Linked DNA regions of Canis lupus familiaris. The protein of the gene in region 6 interacts with the protein of the main gene of each other region in a biochemical or structural test. Links are inferred from orthologs where the notes say so. Each region holds a gene or a part of one and is shown on either strand. Other genes may lie near its edges. The genes, in order: MTOR, PARK7, UBE2Z, CCNE1, MFN1, PRKN and UBE2V1.

Evidence for each region.
Region 1: of the proteins of PRKN (region 6) and MTOR, one has a biochemical effect on the other in vitro, tested with the Homo sapiens proteins (2 studies listed by BioGRID). The link is inferred for Canis lupus familiaris from reciprocal best matches to the Homo sapiens genes PRKN and MTOR.
Region 2: the proteins of PRKN (region 6) and PARK7 form a complex in vitro, tested with the Homo sapiens proteins (2 studies listed by BioGRID, with this or other methods). The link is inferred for Canis lupus familiaris from reciprocal best matches to the Homo sapiens genes PRKN and PARK7.
Region 3: the proteins of PRKN (region 6) and UBE2Z form a complex in vitro, tested with the Homo sapiens proteins (2 studies listed by BioGRID). The link is inferred for Canis lupus familiaris from reciprocal best matches to the Homo sapiens genes PRKN and UBE2Z.
Region 4: of the proteins of PRKN (region 6) and CCNE1, one has a biochemical effect on the other in vitro, tested with the Homo sapiens proteins (2 studies listed by BioGRID). The link is inferred for Canis lupus familiaris from reciprocal best matches to the Homo sapiens genes PRKN and CCNE1.
Region 5: of the proteins of PRKN (region 6) and MFN1, one has a biochemical effect on the other in vitro, tested with the Homo sapiens proteins (3 studies listed by BioGRID). The link is inferred for Canis lupus familiaris from reciprocal best matches to the Homo sapiens genes PRKN and MFN1.
Region 7: the proteins of PRKN (region 6) and UBE2V1 form a complex in vitro, tested with the Homo sapiens proteins (4 studies listed by BioGRID). The link is inferred for Canis lupus familiaris from reciprocal best matches to the Homo sapiens genes PRKN and UBE2V1.

Annotation. Positions count from the first base shown.
Region 1 is NC_049223.1:84,296,674-84,300,173, forward strand, and holds part of MTOR (serine/threonine-protein kinase mTOR), read left to right. Parts: coding exon 1-53; intron 54-759; coding exon 760-992; intron 993-2,689; coding exon 2,690-2,890; intron 2,891-3,500. UniProt on the Homo sapiens protein: Serine/threonine protein kinase which is a central regulator of cellular metabolism, growth and survival in response to hormones, growth factors, nutrients, energy and stress signals.
Region 2 is NC_049226.1:62,058,891-62,063,093, forward strand, and holds the start of PARK7 (Parkinson disease protein 7), read left to right. Parts: upstream 1-1,403; intron 1,404-2,331; 5' UTR 2,332-2,354; coding exon 2,355-2,444; intron 2,445-3,828; coding exon 3,829-3,930; intron 3,931-4,203. UniProt on the Homo sapiens protein: Multifunctional protein with controversial molecular function which plays an important role in cell protection against oxidative stress and cell death acting as oxidative stress sensor and redox-sensitive chaperone and protease.
Region 3 is NC_049230.1:25,087,709-25,091,208, forward strand, and holds part of UBE2Z (ubiquitin-conjugating enzyme E2 Z), read left to right. Parts: intron 1-1,934; coding exon 1,935-2,122; intron 2,123-3,500. UniProt on the Homo sapiens protein: Catalyzes the covalent attachment of ubiquitin to other proteins. Specific substrate for UBA6, not charged with ubiquitin by UBE1. May be involved in apoptosis regulation.
Region 4 is NC_049222.1:122,573,046-122,576,545, forward strand, and holds part of CCNE1 (G1/S-specific cyclin-E1), read right to left. Parts: intron 677-3,500; coding exon 531-676; intron 412-530; coding exon 276-411; intron 1-275. UniProt on the Homo sapiens protein: Essential for the control of the cell cycle at the G1/S (start) transition.
Region 5 is NC_049255.1:12,955,818-12,959,796, forward strand, and holds the start of MFN1 (mitofusin-1), read left to right. Parts: upstream 1-1,179; 5' UTR 1,180-1,338; intron 1,339-1,636; exon of another isoform or gene 1,637-1,655; intron 1,656-2,059; exon of another isoform or gene 2,060-2,306; intron 2,307-2,803; 5' UTR 2,804-2,808; coding exon 2,809-2,920; intron 2,921-3,896; coding exon 3,897-3,979. UniProt on the Homo sapiens protein: Mitochondrial outer membrane GTPase that mediates mitochondrial clustering and fusion. Membrane clustering requires GTPase activity. It may involve a major rearrangement of the coiled coil domains.
Region 6 is NC_049222.1:50,440,298-50,443,436, reverse strand, and holds the end of PRKN (E3 ubiquitin-protein ligase parkin), read left to right. Parts: intron 1-374; coding exon 375-487; 3' UTR 488-2,639; downstream 2,640-3,139. UniProt on the Homo sapiens protein: Functions within a multiprotein E3 ubiquitin ligase complex, catalyzing the covalent attachment of ubiquitin moieties onto substrate proteins. Substrates include SYT11 and VDAC1.
Region 7 is NC_049245.1:37,205,139-37,208,638, reverse strand, and holds part of UBE2V1 (ubiquitin-conjugating enzyme E2 variant 1), read left to right. Parts: intron 1-1,609; coding exon 1,610-1,758; intron 1,759-3,500. UniProt on the Homo sapiens protein: Has no ubiquitin ligase activity on its own. The UBE2V1-UBE2N heterodimer catalyzes the synthesis of non-canonical poly-ubiquitin chains that are linked through Lys-63.

The DNA.
Region 1 (3,500 bases), on a different chromosome or scaffold from region 6:
ACTGGTTTCCAGCTCAGATGCCAATGAAAGGAAAGGTGGCATCTTGGCCATAGGTAAGGACAGAGTCTCTGCTGACAGTTACAGCTGAGAATAAAGGGTGGGTCACCTTTGTGTCCACTGCACCTGTGTCTGCTGCATACCGATGCTTCATTCTTGCCTATTTAAGGAATTTCTTAAGGAGGCTTGTGGCTTTCAGCGTGCTTATTCAGATATTAATTCTAACAACAGTCCTGGGATGTGGGCAAAGCTGGTATTTTCAGATACAGAGTCTCAGAACTGTGACACAGCTTTTCTAGGGCCACAGAGTGGCTGCGCTGAGACTCAAAGCCAGCTTTCTTTCTGCTACCCTGTGTTGCTTGTTGCAGGCTCTGGTGTCTCTGTAGAGCAGTCTGGTATAGCCAGCCGGGCTCACCAATGGAAAGGGAGAGGTGGGAACAGTGATAAAAAGCATGTGGTTTTCAAGTCCCAGGGACTGGTCTGGTGAATTCTTATTCATTCTTAGTTTGCTTCCTTTTTCTTCTTGGGAAAACAAATTTTAAGTACCAAAATGAGGTTATTTTGCTTTACGTAAGTAGTTCTGGCACAAATATCAAATCTGTTGCTTTTAAGTGAAAATTATCTGCATCCTTCCCATCTGGGAGTTGCCTTCTGTGCTCAGGGTAGAAGGAAGGGGTCATTTGCCAGCCTTCCTTTCAGGGCAGGGCACGCTCCTAGACAGGATGTGCCTATCCTCACCTTTTGCCTTCCTCTCTTAACCAGCCAGCCTCATAGGAGTGGAAGGTGGGAATGCCACTCGGATTGGCAGATTCGCTAACTATCTTCGGAACCTCCTCCCCTCTAATGACCCAGTTGTAATGGAGATGGCATCCAAGGCCATTGGCCGCCTTGCCATGGCAGGGGACACTTTTACGGCTGAGTATGTGGAGTTTGAGGTGAAGCGAGCCTTGGAGTGGCTGGGCGCCGACCGCAACGAGGGCCGGAGACACGCAGCTGTGAGTGCCTGTGGCGGGGGTGAGGGTGTGGGGGGCACAGCTGGCTGGGGAGCCGTGGCGCCGTGTCGGGGTCCTCCACACAATGGCTCAGGTCGCTGAAAGGCAGACAAAGGAGGGGACACTCCAGGCAAAGGCACTGTGCTTCTCAGGGGCCTTTGGTTTCGTCCTGAATCCCTTTCTCTTTTTGCCCTGAGCTCCGAACCTGAAGGGCAAACTTTAAGTTCTCTTTTGTTGCTTGAGAGGCAGCCCTAAGTGCAGCGCTTACCTTGATGTCTAATTTTCTAGAATCAAAATTGCCTCCTAAACAGAAGGCACACCTCAGCCATAGGCAAGGGAAAGAGCCGCGAGCCAAAAGGCTTCCAAAGCCCCAGACAACTGTCCGCTCTGTACTTTCCCATCAGTGTCTTCGTCAAGGTCTCTGTACGGTACTGAAGGAATACAGAAGGACGAGGAGGAGGGGAGGCGCGGGGCAGCAGGGCCTTCAGTTCCTCCAGTGGAAGCAGTGGCCTGCCTCCTTTCAGGCCTTCCTTATTTATTTTTTTACTTATTTGTTTAAATTTATTTATTGATTTGAGAGAGAGAGAGAGAGAATATGTGTGAGCGTAGGAGGCTTGCTGGAGGGAGAATGAGAAAAGGCTTAAGTCAACTCTGTGCTGAGTGTGGAGCCAGTGGCAGGGCTCAGCCGTAGGACCCTGAGATCAGCACCTGAGCCGAAACCAAGAGCCTGATGCTTAATCAACTGCACCACCCAGGCGCCCTTTTTGTCTGTTTTTTAGGCATTTGTTGATTGGTTGGTACCTAACCCAAACTTCCTTTTTCCCCATTGGCTGTTTTTCACTTGGGGATGTAGGAGCCTCTTATCCTCTTCTTGTAGTGCATCTCTACTGCTTTGGTTTTTTTGTTTTGTTTTTAAGTAGGCTCCACACCCAATATGGAGCCCATTGTAGGCTTGAACCCACGACCCTGAGATCAAGACCTGAGATGAGATCAAGAGAGACTTAGTCACCCGAGCCACCCAGGAACCCCAATATCCCCACTGCTTTTTGAGGTTCATCCCTGGAAAAGGCTGGTTTGAGGGACAGACTTTCAGGCTGCAAGATGAGGGAGAGTCTGTCCTTAAGGGAAAGGATCTGGGAATGTGTGTGCTGAGGATCAGAGCGTCATTTGGATCTTTGCTGTGGGCCCCCTCTTTAGGAGCCAGCCCCACAAGGAGGGGTCCCAGTACTGGGGGAGCGATAGACACCTGAAGTCTGCTTCAAGTCAGCTTTGTCCTTCCTAAGTCTGAAGCTTGAAACAACCTCTGACCTCTAGTTTCTTCCACTGTCAGATGAACACGAAAGCAAGATTAAATATTGAACATTCATTCAATAAATGTTTGTTGGATACTGCCGTGTTCTGGCGATGCTTTTCGGCTGTCAGCAGGGCAGCATACAAAGTCTAAAACACATCTGCCTTCCAGAGCTTATGTCCTAAGATGACAAGCATCCCGTGTTTATAAATACTCCAGTGTAACGAACACAGATGTTTGATCAATTTTGCTTTACTCCTAGGTCCTCAGAGATTCCTAGCTGGAAGGGTGGACAAGTGTGCTCTTTTCCTGATACATATACACGCCCCGGGACAACAAGAGGCCATATTGGGATAGAGCTAAACTCTCTGATACAGATGAGGGTCCTCCGTGTGCTTTTTCCTCCCAGGTTCTAGTTCTCCGTGAGCTGGCTGTCAGCGTCCCCACCTTCTTCTTCCAGCAAGTGCAACCCTTCTTTGACAACATTTTTGTGGCTGTATGGGACCCCAAACAGGCCATCCGTGAGGGAGCTGTGGCTGCCCTTCGTGCCTGTTTGATCCTCACCACCCAGCGTGAGCCGAAGGAGATGCAGAAGCCTCAGTGGTATCGGGTGAGCACATGCCGCGATCCCATCCACCTGCAAAAGCACATTCACAGACAGAATTACCTGGCTGAAGTGGGGGCCCTTGCCACAGAGCGAGTGTCACAGTCGCATTGGTCTCCAGTGATTTCTTTCTTTTTTCTTTTTTTAAAGATTTATTTATTTATGATAGGCAGAGAGAGAGAGAGAGAGAGAGGCAGAGACACAGGCAGAGGGAGAAGGCAGGCTCCATGCAGGGAGCCTGACGTGGGACTTGATCCAGGGTCTCCAGGATCACGCCCTGGGCTGCAGGCGGCGCTAAACTGCTGCGCCACTGGGGCTGCCCAAATAAATAAAATCTTTAAAAAAAAAATGAAAATATGATACAGTTAAGCTATAACTTACTGCTTTCTTATGAACAATTGTAAGAGTTCGCAGAGATATTAAAATATAGAAAAGTGGGTATCGGAGAAGCAGCAACATAGTGATACTGATTTAGAAAGGGCTGGTTCTCTCTCCTTCAGTGTCATAAGCCCTGTGCCAATTGCTGCTGCCAAGAAAACCTAACCAAGAAGCTTGTCCCACAAAGACAGCTCTGACTGTGGCATTGGAGACCGGCGTTCTAGGCTTGGCTTGGCTG
Region 2 (4,203 bases), on a different chromosome or scaffold from region 6:
TTCTATACAAAAGATGTAAAACAAAGTATTTGCTGGTGCTTGCGTGAGGAAATCCTGGAAAGATGCTCCGGAAACGACTATAAAGTTACCCGCAGGGAGTCAGGGAGCGGGGATTGTGGAAGAGAGTGGGGACAAGGATAGGAAGGAGTCCATCGGTTCAACGTTAACTTTCAGCACTTTGGTTTTTTTTTTGTTTGTTTTTGTTTTTTTAAGATTTATTTATTCCTGAAAGACACACACAGAGAGAGGCAGAGACACAGGCAGAGGGAGAAGCAGGCTCCATGCAGGGAGCCCGACGTGGGACTCGATCCCCGGCCTCCAGGATCAGGCCCTGGGCTGAAGGCGGCGCTGAACCGCTGAGCCGCCCGGGATGCCCGACTTTGGTTTTTGAAATGGGTAAAAGTATCAATATTCAATGCAAACTTTTAAGAACAAAGTGTGGGATTCTGACTTAAATGTCACCAAGTACTTATCAGGTCCGGGTGCTCAGCAGTGCTCTAAGCCTGTGGGTGCAGCAGCAGCAGCAGCGCTGGGATGTTAGGGAAAAAAACAACTTTGAGAAACCATCACACGGGCAATCACCGCACGCAAACCCGTGCTGGGAGCCGCGCAGGATCCCGAGGCCCGGGCGCCCACCGTGGGGACCCAGGATGGGGAAAACCTTGAAGTCCTAACAGGTCGGGGGGAAACGAGAAGGCGCTCCCGGATAGGGACGCCGAGAGTGCGGGAGAAGCGTGAAGGTGCAACTCCACGGAAACGTCTGTTGGCAGCAAAGCGCCGCAGCTCCCGAGGGGACCGCGCGCGGGCAGGCTGCGGTCACAGGCGGGTTAACGCCCGTGGGCGCCAGCGGCGGGCCGGACCGCGCCGACGGGGGACGGGAGCGTTCGTGAGGCTGCGCGAACACGCGGGATTCTCGTGGTGCCGGGTGCACCAAATGGAAACATCCCCAGCTGTCCAGGGAGGATGCTAACCCACGTGGGTCCGGGAGGACGTGACGCACGTGAGCGAGCGCCACCAGCCTCCGCCGTGCGCAGCTGGGGAGGAGGCGGGGCCTGGGCGGCGTGCGTCTGCGCAGTACCGAGGGGGGCGTGGTTAGGGGAACGAACGAGCAGAAAGAGAAGCCGGGCGATGTGCGTCTGCGCAGTGCAGGGCCTGGGGACGAAGGGAGAACGAGGAGGGGTCTGCGCGACGGGCGTCTGCGCAGTACCGGGGGAGGGGCGGGGCCGAACCAGAAGCCGGGCGGCGTGCGTCTGCGCAGTGCGGCGCCGAGGGCTCGCGCTCGGGGGGCGTGCGTGCGTGCGTACACACGTACGTCCCCGTTTAGGCCGGTTTGGGTTCGGTAGTCTCCGGCGCGGAGTTGCTGCCGACGGGGCCGAGGTGCCGGGGCTGTGGGCAGAGGCGAGGTTCGGGTCGCTGCGGGGGGAGCTGCGGGCGGCGAGGGGGCCACGGGCAGCCCGGAGCGGGCTTCGGAAGGGGGCGCCGCAGGTCGCAGTCACGCCGCGCCTGCGGGCGGGCGGCCTCGGGCCCTCCGGGGTTGTGTGCGTGGCGTCCCCCCAGTTTGTAACTCGTCAGGGCTCTGTTTGCTGACGGGGTTTCCTTAGCGTCTGTGTTGCGCGCACAGCGGACTCCCCAGAAAGAACAGGCTGCAAACTATTGGAGCCCCGCTTGGCAGCTGCCGTTTACCGAAGAGCCAAGAGCAATGAGGGTCCCGTTGCGTTGAATTTACTGGGGGAATTCCCACCTTTCGACATCATTTAAAAATATATATATGGTGAAATATTTAACACTGTTAACTTTCAAGAGGGTTTTGTGCAGTTATTGGAACTTCAAAGAAAATCCCCTCCAAAAATCGCAGACTGTGTGTAGCTTTTTGCCCATGAAATTTAAGTTTGGACGTTTCTCTGAAAATAGTGCTTCCGAGAATAAGGCTTATCTCCCCGCATCGTGTGAAATGCAAGACCCACGTGTGTGTGTTTTAGAAAGTACTGGTTGCAGTAAGTTTTGTATATTGAGTTAAAACAAAACAAAATAAAAAACATGGTCAGAGAAAATCCAAACGGTACTGACACGTGTTAGCAACCCTGCTGTGTTTTCATCTCAAAAATAACAGCAGTTGAAATTCTGTGTAAACCACTGTTAACCTTAAAATGCTTTTTTTCACGTACTGTTTTGTCTCTCAGGATCTTTTCCTTAGGAGGCACTTGGTCACTTTGCTTAAAAATGTTCCTGAACTTGAGATTTTTTTTAAACTTGAGGTTTTTGACTATCTTAGGGTTGCCATGCAAGTGTTTTGAAAATCTTGTTTTTTTTTTTTTTCTTCTCCCAATTAAGTCTTTTAAAAATACAACATAAAAATGGCTTCGAAAAGAGCTCTGGTCATCCTGGCCAAAGGAGCAGAGGAGATGGAGACAGTCATTCCTGTAGATGTCATGAGACGAGCTGGAGTAAGTCCTCCCAACATTTTCCAGCCCTCCCCCTTCTCAAACATTTTTGGGTTTTGAAGGCATTTTTAATAATATTCAGTGTACTTTATAAAATATTTCAAACACAAAAATGCAGAGACTATATAACAATAAATGCCTGTCTATTGTCCGCATTTAATACTTGTTAACATTTTGCCAAATTTCTTGTAAATATTCCTCTTCTTGAGGAACAGATGCTTTAAAAAGAAATAAAGCATTGCACAGCCCTCTTTGTAAATTTCCTGGATACTATTCCCCTTCAACGGCAGGGATAACTCTGTTCTCTCATTAATGTGTATCCATCCCATGGATGTCTTCAGAGTAGTGTTACACTACAATTACATTTTACAGTTACAGTTACATCTATTTCTCTCTCTCTCTCTCTATATATATAATATATATATATAATATGTACATATATATCCCTAGTGAACACGAGTAGTATTGACTGATGCTAGATGATGCTCATCTAAGCATCTGAACTTGCTTAAGTCCTATAACAACCTTATGAGTTATTGACCGTCCTCGTTGTACAGTTGAAGAAACTAAGGCACAGGGACACTACATGAAGTGTCCATGTTGTTGTCTTAGTGAGGAGAAGAGCCAGTACTTAGACCCCAGCAGTCTGGCCCCAGAGTCTGTTAGCCCTTCATCTCTCTGGTTCTCGTAAATGAAGACACCTCTAGATCTGGTTTTTTAATTTAAAATTGCTGCTTATTGTTACGTTGCATGAATATGCTGCTGTCTCTCCATTCTTTTGTTAGGGTGTTTCAGGACATTGCAATACTCTAATATTCTTGTACAGGTTTCCTTATGCAAATGTGTGGGAGGTTTTCCTGGTTTTTATGCCCAAAAATGGAATTGCTTGGCCAAAGGACAGCCCATAGTTAGCATTACCAGATTTTGTCCAGTGACTCCCCAGAGTACCAGCGTGTGGGCCCACCAGCAGTGTAGGACAATCCCCATTTTTCCAGGACTAGCTCTTGGTTTTATTAACTTTTTGCAAGCTAAAGTAGTATTTCATTGTTCTAACTTGTCTTTCTATTTTAAGGAAATACCATGAGATTTAAATAGCAACAGTAACTTTGCAAGATGGATTATTAGCAGGATGTTGGCCCAAACCAGAAAGCTTGTGGGAGAAAGGACACTAACCAGGCAGGGGACCAGGATAGTATCTGTAAATCAGGACTGTCCCAGACAAACTGGGACAGACCTAGTTATTAAATATATTTAGCTAACTTAGTAGCATAAAGTCAGCATGGTTTCATTGCAGTATTTCCTGCCAAGTTATTTTAAAACAGCAGTTGTGAAAATGTTACTCTAAATTTATGTTTCAATGTTAAATGTGATGACGTCTTTCTCTTAGATTAAAGTCACCGTTGCGGGTCTGGCTGGGAAAGACCCAGTACAGTGTAGCCGAGACGTCATCATTTGTCCTGATGCCAGTCTGGAAGATGCAAAAAAAGAGGTTTGTTCTCCATACATGGAATTATTCCTTCCTATGGCTTCTCTATCAGGTTCTTGAAATGTCTTTTGATTATATTTCAGGCTGTTAGCACAGACTTATTTTAAGGAAGTTACTTTCCTTGGATGTCTTCCCCACTATAATAAGCCCAGGGAAGTCAAGGACTCTGTATTCAAGGAAGCTGGCAGTTCCTGCTGCCTGTGCTTGGTGGTGGGACACTTTCATCAGTGTTCATCTGGCCTCAAAGGCCCTTTTGCCTCCTGTTATAACTTCATT
Region 3 (3,500 bases), on a different chromosome or scaffold from region 6:
CACTCAGGGATCCCCTAACTGGTTGTTTTTGTGGGGTTTTTTTGTTTTGTTTTAAGATTTTATTTATTTATTCATGAGAGACACAGAGAGAGAGAGGCAGAGACATAGGCGGAGGGAGAAGCAGGCTCCGTACAGGGAGCCCGATGTGGGACTCAATCCCAGAACCCCAGGATCATGTCCCGAGCCAAAGGCAGAGGCTCAACCACTGAGCCACCCAGGCATCCCTAACTGGTTGCTTTTTTTGTTTGTTTGTTTTGTTTTAAAGATTTATTTATTTATTTATTCATTCAGAGAGAGAGAGACAGGCAGAGACACAGGCAAAGGGAGAAGTGGGCTCCATGCAGGGAGCCTGATGAGGGACTCGATCCCAGGTCTCCAGGATCACGCCCCGGACTGCAGGCGGCGCCAAACCGCTGCGCCACCGGGGCTGCCCAACTGGTTGCTTTTGAATGTCCTTTCTACTCCAAAGACCATTCTTGTCTTGTCCTCCATACACAAACACAGAGAAGGCTGAAATTCCCCTGGCATAGATGCCTAGGCCTCTCTGTCATTGAGCGCTCTACCCTCAGAAGTGAATTTTTCACTTAAACTAATGTTGGGAAGAAATCAAGATTTCCTAAATCTAATATTGTTTAAATGAAAACTCTTCCATGGTTTCAGATTTCTTACGGTAAAAGTTCTGACTTTGTAGTGTAGATATGTGTATTTTGTTTTGAATAAGTTTCCCTTAAATTGATTTTTTTCTTTTTTTTTTTTTTTTTTTTGTGGTTAGAAATATTTTTCCTGGGACATCTTGTCCAGTCAAGTATCAGTGTTAATATGCTAGTCCCTAGGGTCCCAGAATTGATGTCCTGTTGATGCCATTTGAGCTTGCTATTCCAAATGCCTGAGGGCTGAAAGATATTCCTGGGTGCCACCAAGGGCAGAGTAGGGACTGAAGCATTGGATTGCTGGTCCTTTTTCGTCTTGCTGCTTAAATTCTGAGCAGACTTAAGTGGCTAGCAGCCTTTGTAGGAGAAGAAATATAACGGGGTCAGTTCAAGTTCTCTTCCTTTCAGGAGGGGAAAGCTTGTTCAGTGATCCTGGTTGGAGGACAAAAGTTGAGTGTTCTAAGTGCTGCCGATTTTTTTTCTTTTTAAGTTAACCAACAGTGTTGGGAAGATTTCTGGTGATGGTCTAAGGGCTCCAAATGGACCCTGAGTTTTCCCCGTTTTTTGTTTTTTGTTTTTTTTTTTGGTATCTTTGACACAGCTGACTGCTGCCTGAGCTACATCCTCCCACAGTAGGCTTGCTTCTTTGTGGAGGCAACAGAGACCCTAGGCCTCCATCACAACCCTCAGCTCTGCACTGTAAACTGGCACTGTGGCCGCCAATCCCTTTGCTCTTTTCCGTTCATCTTACTCCCCTTTGTGCCTCCTAAATGGAGGGTGGGGTTGCCTCAGACACATGATTAACCTAGGCAAATCCAAACAGACATGCTCAGTAAAAGTATATATTAGATTCTTAAAACTAAACGGGCTAGGATAATATTTTACAGTTGCATATTTTAGTTGGTGCAGTGGTGTTCCATGTATATTTGTTACATGTAACACTGATCAGGGAAGTCTTAAAAAAAAAAAAAAAAAACCTATGCTGTCACAGGGAGTTTTAAGGGACATTCAGGGTGATTTTTGACTACATTCAGTTTTCATCTTGGGCTCTAACTTTAGACGTTAACCACTGAGTAAGATGCCACTCCACCGTAATGGGATTTCTTAAAATTCCAAACATATTTATTAGTATGAGTGAGTACAGGCTGTTCATTCCGCATGGTGAGGATATGGAATGATATACTAGATGAAGGTCCTGCTGCTGGTGTGGGTAGCAAGTGGAAGCCAGGAGGGGTTGGGATGGGACATCACCTCACAATTTTGAGATGGGGTTTTATTTTGCAGATTCATGCATTGATCACAGGCCCATTTGACACTCCTTATGAAGGGGGTTTCTTCCTGTTCGTGTTTCGGTGTCCGCCCGACTATCCCATCCACCCACCTCGGGTCAAACTGATGACAACGGGCAATAACACAGTGAGGTTTAACCCCAACTTCTACCGCAATGGGAAAGTCTGCTTGAGTATTCTAGGGTAAGAGGAGACTTCTAAGTGGCCAAGTTGGTTGTTAGCAAATAATTACTCTAGGCCAGCCTTTATCAACCGGGGTTCCTCATCTGAACCACAGAACCCAGAAAATGATTGGAGTGACTGTTTCCTCAATTTTCCCCAGGATGGTACGTGATTAGTATCATTCTAAGTGCAAAAGAGAGAAGTTCATGTATGACCTACAATGGATGCCTTAGTGAAGTGGTTCTCCCTGACCAGCAACAGCACTTGGAGAGCTTGTAGCCCTACAGATTCTGAGGGTCCACCCTAGACGTACTGTATCAGAAACTCTAGGGGAGGGCTTAGCAATCTGTGTTTTACAAGCTCTCCCGGTGATTTCTGGCGCATACTTCAGCTTGAGAACCACTCCCTTAGGGCATCAGGGCTTCATTCTCTCCTGAACAGGTTGAGAAAGGCTGCAGATCTGTGCCATTTAAGATTGTGGGTGTCTTGTTTCTGAGTCTCTCAATGAGTGGCTTTGGAGGCGGCGGTGGTGATGAAGATGATCATGATATTTTAACAACTGAATGAAAAACGTCTAAGGTTGGAAATCATATCAGATAAGAAATCCAAGTTTCAAGTACATTTTGTTTCTGGGTGCTACTGAGATTTTGCTTCATGCGGTTCTCACTCGCTCCCTTTTAACTGCCTTTGGGGGCTAAAAATTCAGAATGGAAACAGTGTCTTCTGGATTGGCGGTGTTTGTGTGGTCTGAGTTTCCCTGGGGCAGAGGACAAGTGCAGGTTGAAGTTGGGAGAGTTGCCAGAACTGGTGATACCTTTTTCTTTCCTGTCCAGCATATTTCCAGGTGTGTGTGGGGAAAGGCAGCTGACCCAAACTGGAGACAGGAGTTATTTTATTTATTTATATTTTTAATCTCTCAGACCCAGGGACATGTTCTGTGGTGGTGGCAGTGAGGAAGTCCTTCAAAGGAGGTTGTCCTTAAAGCGGTCCTTTATGTTGTTAGGGTTTTTATCTGGTAGGATAGTGGTAGACATAGCCCACAGTGGTGAGGATATTCACTTGTTGTTTCTACATGACATTTGTTTGTGATAGCGTTTTTGTACTAGGTTCTCCATTGGGCCAGTATAAAACGATTTTGAGCAAACATCAGCTCACAGTAGAACCAGGGAAAGTAAGACGGCGGGGTAGGAGTAGCAGAAGTGTTTTGGGTGGAAAATAAGCTACCCTGAAATTGAACATTAACCACAAGAACTCACAGGATAGAAAATTCCCATGTGTTCCTAGTTGACTCTTCCATCAGCCTCAGTCCTTTCCTTCCTACTTAGAAAAAAAGATTGGGGCTGCCTGACAAAAGAAATGTAATGAAAATTTACATTGTTGGCTTGACTCCCGGAGTATG
Region 4 (3,500 bases), about 72 Mb from region 6:
CAATTTAATTAAAGACCAAATATCAATATTTACAGTTCAGTGGAAAAGAGAACTTTTGTAATTATTTGAACTTGGAAGAAAAAAAATTAAATGCCAACCTCAAAATATCTAAGAGGTAAAGAGACTTCAGAAATTCTTCTACGGAAGAACCCAAGCAAAAGAGTGGTACTTTGGAGACACAGAAAAGTGTCAATGGGGTATAAGACACACAAAGAGGTCGTCAAAGGTTCTAGAAGTGGTCAATGCTTCCAGTCGACAGGAAGACTCAAGCTCACCTCCATCAACCAATCCAGAAGAATTGCTCGCATCTTGGGCTGCAGGAGGGGGTGCCGCTGCATAAAGTGCTTATCCCGTAAGTATGTCTTTTCCTTATTTAGCATAATTTTCCAGACCTCGTCTCTATTTGCCCAGCTACAAGAAACAAAACCAAGCGAAAGACAAGAAGTAGGCGTCAGTATGCGTCCACACTGACTTGGTGAGATTGTGCACAAGGAGCAAAAGACCTGGAAGGCACGTGGCAGGCAACTTACTTCAGTAGAGGCAGCGGCGAGGCTCTGGAGGGCATGAAGCTCTGCGGTCCACACACGGAACTTGGGTATGCTGGCTCATCCTCTTCTTTGTCAGGTGTGGGAATCAAGGAGCAGGGGTTTTCACATGCGGGATTATTGTCCCAAGGCTGTAGAAGAAAACACACATTCTTAAATGTTTGATAGGAACCAGCTATGTGTACATTCATGATTTGTAGAACAGCCAGTAAAACAGAAAATATCTTCACACTAGAGAGCAATCTCCAGGCCTAAATACCTATTCTGGCCTAAATGAGGATGAAGATGGAACGAGTAAGTAAAAGCCACAGTAAGGACTCCAAGCTTTCGTTTCACTTGCCACTGGCTTAGGAGTCTATGCAGTAAGTATCTAAGACGACTACAAAGTCAGTAGCATTTTATCCTCCACACTGTCGCCGTCAAACCAGTACCTGAGCAGGAAGATGGACCCAGGAGGGATTAAGACAAAATGCAAACAGCTCTTAGGAGTACAAAAACCGACACCACCACCACCTATACAAATCCACCTGCAGCTCGGTAAGAAACTGGGCATAACCTCTGAGGTATGCTGTGGGATTATTTGGTCACAACTCAAAGATTTGTTTTTTTTTAACAGGTACAACTAATCTACCAAAACTTCTTAAAAGTGAAAGAATTCCAATAAAAGTATATTTACATGCGCACCGCACATTCACAAGCGTAAAGACCAAAAATGTAAATTACCATCTGTATTTAGTGTCCCCATCTTAAGACGTAAAACCATCAAATGTGACATCTCCTGGTTGCAAGACTACCTAATATATTACATAACGAGGACCTTTTGTTTTCCTTAACTCAAAACAAAACAAAAAGAATATCTGCCTAGTTAAAACCAAATCCAGGAATGGTCACAGGATATACTAAGAAGTCCGTGGAGATAGAAGCCAGATACCCCTGAAGACCTTTGAATCCTGCCCCCAAAGTCTTGCATGGAATGAGGATCCAAGAACTGATAAGGGAATAAACCATCATTAAAAACGCAAACAATATGCTTTCCTTTCAAAGATTCTAGGTACTTAATTTTATTCGATTTTCAGTATTTGGAAAATAAGAAGGTCCTTTTGCCATTTACAAAGTTTTCTTTGTCAAGCTGCTCTGTTTTTTTTTTTTTTTTTTTTTTTTTTTGAGTCGTAAGAGTGGTTTTGTGGACAGTGCGGCAAGTAACAATCCCGCCAGCACGGAAGTCCTGTGGAAGTCTGAGACTCTTGGCCTTTTGTTTTAAAGCAGACAGTTCATTAAGGCTGACCAGAGAAGAAATGGGACAATTAGAAATGAGCATGGGATGTGGGCTCCAGGTGCTGCCTGGAGGATACGGTAGTGGGGCGCGCACAGCACACCGGCCACTTTCAGAGGCGGCCAGAGCACTTTCAGTGTGCTGAGGAGAGCAAAGCAGGATAAAGCTCTTCTCCACCCAGGGTGCAAAGAATTGGGCATGCAAATTAACCATGACAACTCCTGCCAACAGCTGTTCCAGAAGGGCAACCTCCCCTTCCAGCTCTAGTCTCATGTGCTGGTAGCATTTCCTTGACTCAAAACGAGTCACATTACAACTGCTTCAAGCTGCTCTTCATTCGAGAATGAATTCTAGCTGTGAAGGCAGAAGCTGGGTGCCACCCTCTACAGCCAGATGGCTGAAAGGGCTGAGAGCAGCCTTTGAGGATAAAATGGCAGCAGTTCCTAAACCACAGTGCATAGACAGACTGGATGACCCACAAGCCACAAGTGGTTCGGAAACCTGGACCCTTTAGGATCCAGCACGTGAGGCACAATAATGAAGTCGAAGTCTCGAGTGTACGCTGGGTTTCAAAGAGGCCAGATCCATCTGACTTTAGGAAGGACCGGGATAAGAGCAAGACACCAATTTTGACTATTTCTAAACACCCCCGACCCCTCATGCCACTTTTAACTAAGAACAGAACTACCTATGTAGAATCAGGTGCTGAGAAGTAACTACTACAAAGTCCAGGATTTCACTTCAATTAAAAAGGTGGGTCTCCTGCAAAAAGTTAAACAACAAAACGGATATGCTGAATGGATTTCAGATAAAAGGGTAGTCTTTTGATTAGGAAAGGCCTAAGGTAACACTCAAAGGTTCTCTGTGTCCTGAGGAAGGAGTTATAAGGAGTTTAGCACAATGCGCCACAAGTAGCTCCAGGCCACTGTACTGGGCTGAACTAGAACTCCTGACAAAAATTCCGTGTGATAATTGTGTTACCCCAAACTTCTAGCTTCATGAATCTACACAGGGGAAAACCAGAACGAGTGCTCCATAGATAGATGGGCAATCTTCAAGCTATCTGCTCTACAAAACGTACAGAAACCTGTTGTCCTTAATCTCTGAACAACCAGGAAAATTCCTTCTCGTTAGTGGGAAATGATAGGAGTATTTAAATACCACGGCTATCAATGTGCACACTTTGGGGACAGGCCCACAGCCCGATTTTAGGCACCCTAGCACTGCTCCGGTCCTCCTCGAGAACAAACTACTCCAACAAGTGGATATGGATGCCTTCGCTTCACTCTCAGAAATTTCAATTCCCAAAACAGCTGGGAAAATAAGCAATCCCGAGTTTCACAAAGTGGAGAGCCATTTTACCACGGCTCATAAAAATCAACCTGCTTAAAGTTTGTTTGCTTTTTGTTTTTTCAAGGAGAAGAAAAGAAAAGAAAGGAATGTCTTATTTCCTTCCCTAAAGGAAAGTATTTCTTCATCTAATGAGAAAGAAATCATCAACCCCTTGTTCGATATTAGGTCGATCTCCCCAGAATTGCTAATTTCTAGGGTCTACGTGCAGGGACGACAACTATTCCTGCACACCCACTGCTTCAAAGCCCTTCACTCTGCCAGAACCAGCTGCCACAGCTGTTGCTCAGTGCCCAACACAGCGACGTGCTGCCCACTGCTAACCTAGTTGG
Region 5 (3,979 bases), on a different chromosome or scaffold from region 6:
TTACAATAAAATTCAAACTTTTGATCTTGGCTTATATGACTCTACACCTACCTACCTCTCTAATCTTCCCACATTTTCTCTCCCTCCCTGCATCCCAAATACGCTGGCCTTTTTATCATCCACCATACCACTCTCCTTCCTATAGGCCTTTAGACTTCCTGTTCCGTCTGTGTTGGGCATTCTTCCTCCACATAGTCCAAGGATTGGCTTCCTGAGAAAAATCAAAGAAATATCTCCCCAGAAAAGATCACCCTATGTGGTTCAGTTCTCATTTTTCTTCAGATAGTCTGTCCCCATTGTCATTTTTTCCTTTTTAGAGTACAAAGCACATGCGAAACGATCTCTTATTTCTTTTGTTTTCTTGATATTCATCGATTCTAATAGAAAGAACATCAGTATTTCTTTAATGTAGCTCTAACTGTATACCCAACAGTGTTATAAGCACTTCACACGCTATTGACCCGTTTAATTTTCACAACAACCCATAACGTAGGTATCATTAGAATGCCAGTTTGATAGATGAAGGGCCTGAGGGTCAGAAAGATGAAGTGACTTCTCTTGCTAAACTGTATCGCACTTATGAGCTCTGGAATGAAATCTCCAGACTCTCTATTAATTAAGCCACGTACAGAACAGCAGCAGCAGCAGCTCTTCAAGGATGCTAGAAATGCACGCTCTCAGGCCTCATCTCCGACCCAAAGAATCAGAATGCGCAGGTTAGCAAGATTCACAGGTCCTAGAAGTATAAAGTTCGAAGAACACTCAACAATGTATCATTTTCCTAAGTCTCGCTCTAAAGTAATTCAACGAGCGCACACGCGCGCACACACAGGGCTGTACTCCAATCCCAGGAAGCCAATCGCACAACAGAAGATAGTGGAGCGGCCAAAAGGTTCTCCTTTACTGGGGATCGTGGGGCAAACAGAAATCCCTTTTGTCTGGCAGCCCTAACCCCACCTCATCCCACTTCACCCCACCTCCTTTTAAGATCTCTCTCACTAAAGTGGGAGCTAACTATGCCTAAACCAGGCAAACGTCTGGAGACTGTGATGGGCGAAGAGACGGGAGGCAGACGTAAGCGATGGACGCAACCGCATCCCAGTAGCTTTCCCGAGGGTCAACCGGCCTCCTGCCCTTAAGAAAAATGGAGGTCGGCGTAGACGCACTTCCGGCCACGGAGCCAAACAAGCTCGGGGCGGAGAAGAAACCGGAAGTGACCGCCCCCTTGGCGCTCCTCCCACCTCCTCCCTGCTTCCCAGCGTCTCCCGGGAGGATGAGGAGGCCAGAAGGCTGAGGCTGGCCTGCGGTTGCCGGGTGACGGGTCGGAGCCGGGACGGTGTGAGTGCTCGCTGCGTCGGCCGCGGGCCGGTTCGCTTCGCTCGGGGTGACCTTCGTGCGGCCGGGGGCGGGGGCGGGGGGGCAGTCGTGCGCAGGAGTTCTGTGACGAGGCGCCGCCGCGGCGCTCCGGGAAAGGAGCTCCGAGCCGGTGTGCGAGCCCGGCCGGCGGCGGGGTCGAGCCCGCGGAGCCCGCGAGGCCGGAGCCCCGAGGCTGAGGAGCCTGTGCGGCGGGGCTGGCGCAGCCGGGGCGGCGGTGGGTCGGGTCCCTGGCTCTGCGGGGGGGCTCCGGCGCCGGGCGGCGGAGGCCTGTCCCCAAGGTGGGTAGGTGCCCACACGCGGTCCAGCCGGGCCCTTGCCCTCACCCTGCTCTTCCCACCCGGCTCGTTCACCGAGTCCTTTCCTGACACTCCGAAAGGCTCGGCCTTTTTTAATGACCGCTCCGCTCCATGCCACATGCGTACGCACCGGGTGTAGACTGGCGTGTAATCGTTTTTTTTTTTTTGGGGGGGGGGGTGTCTTTTCCATGAGAAGTTGCCAGAAAATAATTTTTTCCCCCTAAACTTAACATTCTTTAAAGTTCTTGGCACTTTGGCTGGAAGCGTTAATTCTCGCCTCAAGCCTTGTCTGCTTATTTGTTCGGATGAGAACTACTTTCCTTTTTAAACTTCGGTATTAACATGATGATCCTGGAACTTTATTTCCTCAGTCTCTGTATGCACCTCCACCCACTAGAGCTCCAGGTTGAGAAACTTCTTGGCGAACTTGCTTCTGCTCGCTGACCCAGTTCTTAAGCGTCCTGTGCTGTCGCAGTTTGCCACGATGAGTTTCATCTTCACCAAAGGAAGATAAAGTAGAAATTGCAAACAGGATTTTGTCCAATAGAGTTGACTTATTTTAATGGAGTACCACCGGAAAAGTTGTCTTTAATTGCCCGTCTAAAACACTTCTCAAAAAACAATTATCTGAAAGTATGTTGGCCGTTTAAGTTTATTTCACTGGGGAGTTAATTTGGCAGGCAGCTGTCATTAATTTGCATGTCTTTATCATACAGTCTAACTTGTGCTTTTCTTTTTTCAACTTTTTTTTTTTTTAATTTTAAGGGCAGGGAGAGGAAGAATCTTTTTTTTTTTTTTTCTTTTTAAGATTTTATTTATTCATGGGAGACACAGAGACACAGGCAGAAGAAGCAGGCTCCATGCAGGGAGCCCGACGTGGGACTCCACCCTGGGTCTCCAGGATCACGCCCTGGGCGGAAGGCGGCGCTAAACCGCTCAGCCACCTGGGCTGCCCCCAAGAGGAAGAATCTTAAGCAGATTTCCCCCTGAGCATGGAGCCTGACTCCGGGCTGGATTTCAGGACCCTGAAATCAGAACCTGAGTGGGAACCAAGAGTCAGATGCCCAACCATCTGTGCCACCCAGGCACCCCTAATTCGTGCTTTTCTAACTTTAATTTTCTTCCCCCAGTAACAATGGCAGAATCTGCTTCTCCACTGAAGCACTTTGTGCTGGCTAAGAGGGCAATTACTGCAATCTTTGACCAGTTACTGGAGTTTGTTACTGAAGGATCCCATTTTGTTGAAGGTTAGTTTCTCCAAGTCTTAAAAATAATAAGGTTGAAAATATATGCAGGGGCTTTATCCTTTCACCCGTAGTTACTGAACTTATGCATTCAGTGTAACGCGTTCAGTATATAAGGCATTGCAGTATATTCCAGGAGAGATGCCCTAACAAATAAAACCCATTTCTGCCTTCCGACGGAGGAAGACTAAATGGTATTAATAACCTAAGAAATAAATGGTTGTATGAACGATAGCACTAAGCACTTCGTTAATTATGCATGTAATCCTCATATCCACGCTGGGACAGATTTTAATTGCAGTTATTTTAAAGGTGAAACCAAGGCACAGAAAATTTAAGCATCATGCTTGTGATCAGTTAATGCCCGGACTAAAAAATCAGGCAGCCCACATTTAAGCCATTATACATTATCTCCTCCCCGAGTCAGCAGTCAGCTTAGATCGCAGACCTATCTTATCTTCTCAAATGAGGCTGGAATGTGGTGGGGAAAGGGCAAAAGGGAGTGTAACTGCTCAGACTGTGTTGGTGAGGAATATCTTACTGGGGAAATACTACTTTGGAGGCAACTTGAAATCTTTTCTGGTTCTTAATATCACATGACTATTAATGGTACAGTGAAAAGGGAGGGATTCTGTAAACTTCTAAAGTGACAGTGGGGAAACATTCGGTAGGTTAGTAGAGTCAAACATTTTTTCTTGTCCTTCCTAACCGTACCTCACCAGATTTTTAGCTTGAGGATAGCCCCTGTAATTTTTTAATAATTTTGAAATTTTGGGGGCAGGATTCTTACGACCCCCTTATGGAACAAGGCATTCACCTTTTACCAAATATTCAGATAACTGTGGCATTTTTACTTTTCAAATGGCCATGTGAATATAGAGCAAAGCCAAAATACGTGCATAGTCTTAGATATTCTATTGTATAATCAATTTAATACTCATTTTTTATCACTTTTTCTAACACCATTTTAATTTTGTAGCAACATACAGGAATCCAGAACTTGATCAAATAGCTACTGAAGATGATTTGATAGAAATACAGGGTTATAAAAACAAGCTTTCC
Region 6 (3,139 bases):
GTGCCTCTGCCTCTCTCTCTCTCCCTCTCTGTCTCTCATGAATAAATAATATATATTTATATATATAAAAGATATACATTATATATAATATATAAATATTATAAATATATAAATTTATTTATATTTATATATTTATATATATTTGTATGTATATTTATATATTAATAAAATATTTAACTTATTTATTTATATAGAATTTGTCCTAGATGGGAGTGGTGAGCTCTACCCTCACTCCTTTCTTAATAGATGCCCTAACTTCAGAATGCCCTGGGATTGTGGGTGACATTCCCTTGGAAAGTCCTTTCTTAGACCAGTGTGTTGGGGCGGGAAGGATGTTCTCCAGATGTTTGCCCGTGTCTTTTGTCTGCCTGCAGGAGGATGCATGCACATGAAGTGCCCACAGCCCCAGTGCCAGCTGGAGTGGTGCTGGACCTGCAGCTGTGAGTGGAACCGGACCTGCATGGGGGACCACTGGTTCGACGTGTAGCCCTGCGAGCGGGCGCCCCACCGCCAGCCAACTTGGAAATGTACAGAGTCCCACAATTTGCTGCTCTTTCTCCAAACTCTCTCTCTTTCTCTCCCCCCCTCCGCCACATGCACACACACACACACACAGAGACACGCACGCACCCCTCAAATCCCTTCCCAATCCACAAAAACAAAGTTACAGGAGAAGCTCCTGGATCCCTTCCTTGGTGCTCATGAAAAGCAGCGCGAAGTATTCTCAGGCGTCAGCCCTCAATACACAGACCCCAGAGCGCAGATGGAAAGTGCACTCCACCTTTTGTATGGATTGCCATTCTCCTGTGAATTCCAGTCAGGCTGGATTTAAGGACAGAAAGATTTCTCAGGTTTCATTTCCTGCATTTGACCTTCAGCGAAGATTGGGAAGAGGCCATCAGGGACGAAATAGATTGGAGAGACCGGTTTCGGGGGTTCTCTGTAAAACCGAGGGCAACGGGTTCGACAACCCTATTCCTGATTTTAGGAGCAATGCTCTTATTTAAATTTTCAGAGAGTATCTGTTCCCAAAGAGAACCCCAGGCAATAGTCAAACTCTGTGTTTATCCCTAAGGATTCTACCTTTATATATTGCATCGGTGTAATATCAACTATGCATAAATCAGCTTGTCAACTAGTGAGAAATTATGAAAGTTAATTTGAATGTTGAAATTATAGAAATCAAAACTTCGTGTGCTTTCATTCCATTTAATTATTTGAGACCTCAGAAAGAAATTGTTTTTCTGAAAGTATTACAAAGTCTATAATTTGATTTTAAACCTTCATTTTGCAGCTTGGAAGAACAAGCTAGTATATCTGGCTTCACTGTACATTTAATGGGTAAGGTGCCTATAGAGGAGACGTTTTTGGAAATGGCTTTATAATGATTCTCAACGTTAACAAAAGTGCAGGGTGTTAAGTGCAGAAGTCTTTAAAGCAGGAGCATGGCGAGGGCTGGCAAAATGAAACCAAGACCGATTCTATCCCAGGGGGGTCAGTGCTCTTTCTGCACCTGCTCTGTCCCCCATCTGCATGCCCCAGGGGCTCTGCTCCCTGAATGGGTTCCTCCAAGAGGAGCTCTTCTCTAGAACAGTGGAGTCACACTAGAATATTTCCTCACATTGACATGGATTCAAATGGAGTGTTCACCAAGTTTTCATCTTTTTTTTTTTTTTTAGACATTCACAACACATCAAAAAAAGATGTGTTTACACTATGCAGCAAACCTCATCTTCTTATAGCACAGTGTACAGATGAAAACCTATAACCACCATCTTCTGTTCTCATTGTCTGTCTTTTCGGGGCTTCTCTTTGTAGACATAGCACCAGAAATCCTTGCTGGGGAAGGAGAGGTAAGGACCTTAGAATATTGCCTGAGAATGTCTGTCCCTCTATCCCTAACCATTCTTCTAGGCTCTGTTTAGAAAATCCAGACTCATGTCAGGAAGCCTTAAAGATCATAGCAAGGGAACGGAGAGCCAATATCTGAGCATTACTGACAATCCCAGCAAATAGCTTCTGACACTGACCTGACAGGACAAATCAGATGGCTCCCTGCCATATGGAACACCCACTATTTTATATTCAGTATAACTTTTGGGTTTAGTGATGCTGTCGTGATTGCTTCCCTCCAAACCGGCATGTTGTGTTGGGTGCGTGAAACCCAAACAAGGTTTGCTCTCATGGGTTCAGGCATGATAGAAATTTCTGGGGCTCTCTGCTCCTTTCCTGGTGGTGGTCTTTTTTCTTTTCTTTTCTTTTCTTTTCTTTTCTTTTCTTTTCTTTTCTTTTCTTTTCTTTTCTTTCTTTTCTTTTTTTCTTTTCTTTTCTTTTCTTTTCTTTTCTTTTTTTCTTTTTTCTTTTCTTTTCTTCTCTTTTCTTTCTTTTCTTTTCTTTTTTCAGACTAGAACACTGAAACAAGTTAAGAAAAAAACAGCCTCTGTAAATGAATGGGAATCACAAACCACTATAAATGAACACGTTTGAACATGAAATGTGTAACCAAATGTGAATATATCAAAAGAATAGAAATAAAATCTTTGCAGAAAAATCTTTATTTTTCTCTGAAATGTGTAAAGGAATATTTGACAACTATGTCTAAGGCTGTACTCAAATTATCAATAAAAGCATCAAAAGAGCTTTGGAGTCCATCTCTGAGGGTAGATTTTCAGTAAATGCTCAAAGTGTGGGAGGGAAGCCCAGGACACCTCGCTCCAGGAGCCTCCCTCTTGCCTGAAGGGATCGCCTGGTGAGGCAACAGGCATTTTTATCTAAAAAGCAAACCATTCAATTAAAAAAATCTAACTGTTACTTTCCTGCTTTATCAGCAAACTTTTCTAGTAAATGTTTAAAACAGAAGTTTGAGTCAGGAAAAACTACAAGGATTTTCTCTGTAATGTCATTTCAGAAAAGCTCAGTGACTTTGCATTGCTCTCAACGTGGGTGTGTTGACACTGCATTTCTTTAGAACTGTTTCAGTGGCTGAAATGAGTGACAATGAGCCTGTGTTTGAGCAATCTGGAATGGAACATTCTTGGAGAGCTCCTATCCATAGATTAGGAAAGCCACACACCATGAGGGCCCATTGGTGCCAAACACCACAGGAAATACCCTAAAGAAACACAAAGTTTCTAGGAAT
Region 7 (3,500 bases), on a different chromosome or scaffold from region 6:
ACTCCTCTGTTCAGAACTCCAGTGGCTTCTCAGGTCAGTAGTAGTTGGAGTCCTTAACGACCCACTGCTCTTCCATCTCACTGACTCAGTTTTAGCTGAATTAGGATCTTGCTGTTCTTTGACATCCCAGGCAAAGTCTTACCCAAGGGTCTTAGCATTTGCTGTTTCTTCATTGGAAGACCCCCCTGAGCTGTGCATAGGTCATGCTCCTTCATGTGAGGTCTTAGTCATGACATCTGGTCTCAGTAAGGCTTTCTGTGATCACTCCATTTAATGTTGTAGCTCTTCCCCCATTACTCCCTGCTCCAGAACTCCCAACAGCTGTCCTCCTATATATATATAGTTCGTATTTTTGTTTTGTCATTTTATGTTTCCCACTAGAAGGTAAGCTCCATGAGGACAGGCATTTTTGTTTTGTTCACTGCTTATTCCCCATTGCCTAGGAAAGTGCCTGACCTATAGTGGATTCTCGGGTATTTACTCCAGTTGAATGAATAGTAGCGGGAGTCCCACCTTAGAAAACACAAGGTATACTGGGAACACCTCCCAGTCTGGAGTCTCTCCAGTGGGTTTTCCTCCACGGTTACGTGGTAAGTGCTGCTCGCTTCATGGAGTTTGGCCAGTTGGGGGCTCAGCATTGAAGGCAAGAGAGAGCTTGTAACTTGTCTGAATCTGAGGGGTTTTTTCCCCCAGAGGTAATAGTTCAAATGCCAGGGAGGGAGGTGGGAGGAGGGGAGAGGCAGGCAGGATTGGTTGGGAGAGCATCCCTGGGAGAGTTACTTGGTGCCCAAGCACAGGAAGAAAATTGCTCTCCCTGCCCTCCCACAGCCTCGTCCCCTACCTGGCCCCAATGCCTCGGCTCTGTTCTGGAAAACACCCAGAAATGGCTCAAGCCTCAATCTGAACTCAGGTATAGTAGCTTGAACCTATGAGATGTGTTTGTGTGATTCCTTCCGTGAGCTACTTGCCAGGCTTTGGAATTTCAGAAACAAGTAAATCAGGGAACCAGCCACCCTCCTTTGGCTTTTTCATAAGAGAGAAACTGTTTTGAATAGTTGAAAATTTTATCCTTGGTGCCTTCAGTTGACTCTTAGCTGATCAAAAGGACACCATTTTTATTTTATGCAGCCCTGGCGGCTGTTCCTCCTGAGGTAGTTTGAGTGTCATTCCAACAAAATGCACACACACCCTTAACCTCAGAAATGTGTAATAAGAATGAAACAAAAGCAGTAGCCTCTTCTCTCCTGAGGCACTTAATCCTCATGATACCGATTTTGGTGGTTTTCATCTGTTCTGGACCCAAACTGATCAACATTTTGACATGTAAACTCTTGAAATTTATCAAAGCTGCGGGGCCGGGGGGTGGTGGTGGTCCTTCTAGGCTTGGTTCAGTGGTCACATCACCTGAAACAAAACCACGTGCCCCTTCCGTGTGGGTGTGCTGGTCGGTACTAGAAGCTCTGTAAGCAAGTTGGAGGGATGACAACTTTGAGCCATTTTTTGCATGTTAGCATCTTTATTTCCACGTAGTAATAATGAGCAGCTAGATCCAGGCTTACAGGTTCCCCTGGAGTTGCTAGTATCTTGAATTTCTTTCCATTTATTTTAGGAGTAAAAGTCCCTCGCAATTTTCGACTGTTGGAAGAACTGGAAGAAGGCCAGAAAGGAGTAGGAGATGGCACAGTTAGCTGGGGTCTAGAAGATGACGAAGACATGACACTTACAAGATGGACAGGGATGATAATTGGGCCTCCAAGAGTAAGCGTCGAGCTACGGCTATAAATGTCAATGTCTTAAATTCACTGTGCCTCCTTTTAAGAAATATTAGCCTTATCACGGAAAAAGCTCACCAATGGTATATTTTCTGAAATGTGGCTATTCTTTTTTGACCAGTTTCAGTTTATATATTTGAACCTCCTCTGATGCTGTTTAATCCCTCTCATGGTAAGCAAAAACCTGTTTAGACTCATAGTGTGAATTTACATAACATGTAGACAGGGAGGTGTGAGGTCATTACACCCTCACGGCTAGTTTAGAACAGACTCTTGGGCTTATCAAATAACAAGGCCCCAGATACAGTAGCCAGCGTTCCGAAGACAGCATCCAAACAAACTTTGGAACGCCTTCATGGTTGTGGTTTTCATTTACAGTTTCCCAGGTCTGCCACACACTCATGTCCTAATTCATCAGGCCATTCAGCAAAGGCTTATTGCCTGCCTGGTTGGCTCTGGTCTCTTCCAGGCACTATGAGACCCAGAGGCCTTTGCAAAGAAGACAGAGACAACAGGGATGAGAAAATTGACCTCTCTTTTAGAGCTTTGTGATTTGTGAGAGTTCCCAGGCTTTGTAGTACCAGCTAACTTTTTAGTGTACATAGTAAAACCTCCAAGAAATGTCATTGAATTCTCACAAGAACCTGTTGTTAAGAGCTACTATTGTGTTGTCACATCCAATTTTACAGGTGACAAAACAGAGAAGTAAAATTACTTGCCCAAAGTCACATAGCTGATAATTCCCAAAGGGGTTCTGAGTCTAGACCCTGTACTCTTAACCCTATGCTCCATTATCTCCTGTCTGTTTAGATTTTGAGTTTTCATGTGTTCCCATTATAGAATTTTCCAGAGTGTTAAGTAGTAATATGAGGTAGGAGTGAAGAAATAGATTCTCATAATGTGACACTTGTTTCAGACCATGGGAGATTCCGTCTGAATGTAACAGGACCTTTCCTGTGTGTGCTCAAAGATGGTGGCAGCCAGTCATTCTTTTCACTGTGTGCACAGGCTCTGCACCAACTCTGTGGGAAGGAGAAAGACATAGGATGTGGCCCTGGCTGAAACAAGGAAGAGGGTCATGTTCATTAGGTGTTAGGACAATCTACCGTTCATCTTGGACTATCGTAAATACACACAGTGAATGACTGGCTTTGCTATTTAACGTTGCTTCTTGAGTCATCTTTAACCCTGTGGTTTTGTTTTTTGGGTTTAAAAATATATATATTCAATTTACTGTTTTTTACTCATTTCTTTATCTTTTTAAAAAATCTCTGAAAACTAGGATTTATAAATCTATTAAATACTGAAGAAAACCTGATATAGAAAACTCGTTTCTTCATGGAGATCATTTCTTGCTGTTTCTGAAAGCCCACTGTATGGTGATGGCTTCCTTCACTGCATTTCTTCTTTTCCTAAGAATGGTTAGGTTTCTTGAGGGTGAAAACTATTCTTCCCTCCTCCTTGCTCTCCAGAGCACCTGGAAATGACTCGGAATGGGGCAGTTGTTCAATAGATTTGTTCATTAGCGGACTGATTTTCAGGTTCTAACAAATTAAGAATGGACCAGTGTACAACATTGCGAATACACTAAATACCACTGAATTATACACTTAAACAAATGAGCCACCAAATTCCATTGAAAATATTCTGTTCTACCTACAACACCTTAGGTTACCCTGCGTTTCAGTTTAACTCTTTCCACAGGGGGCTTGCTTAGTGAGTGGCTAC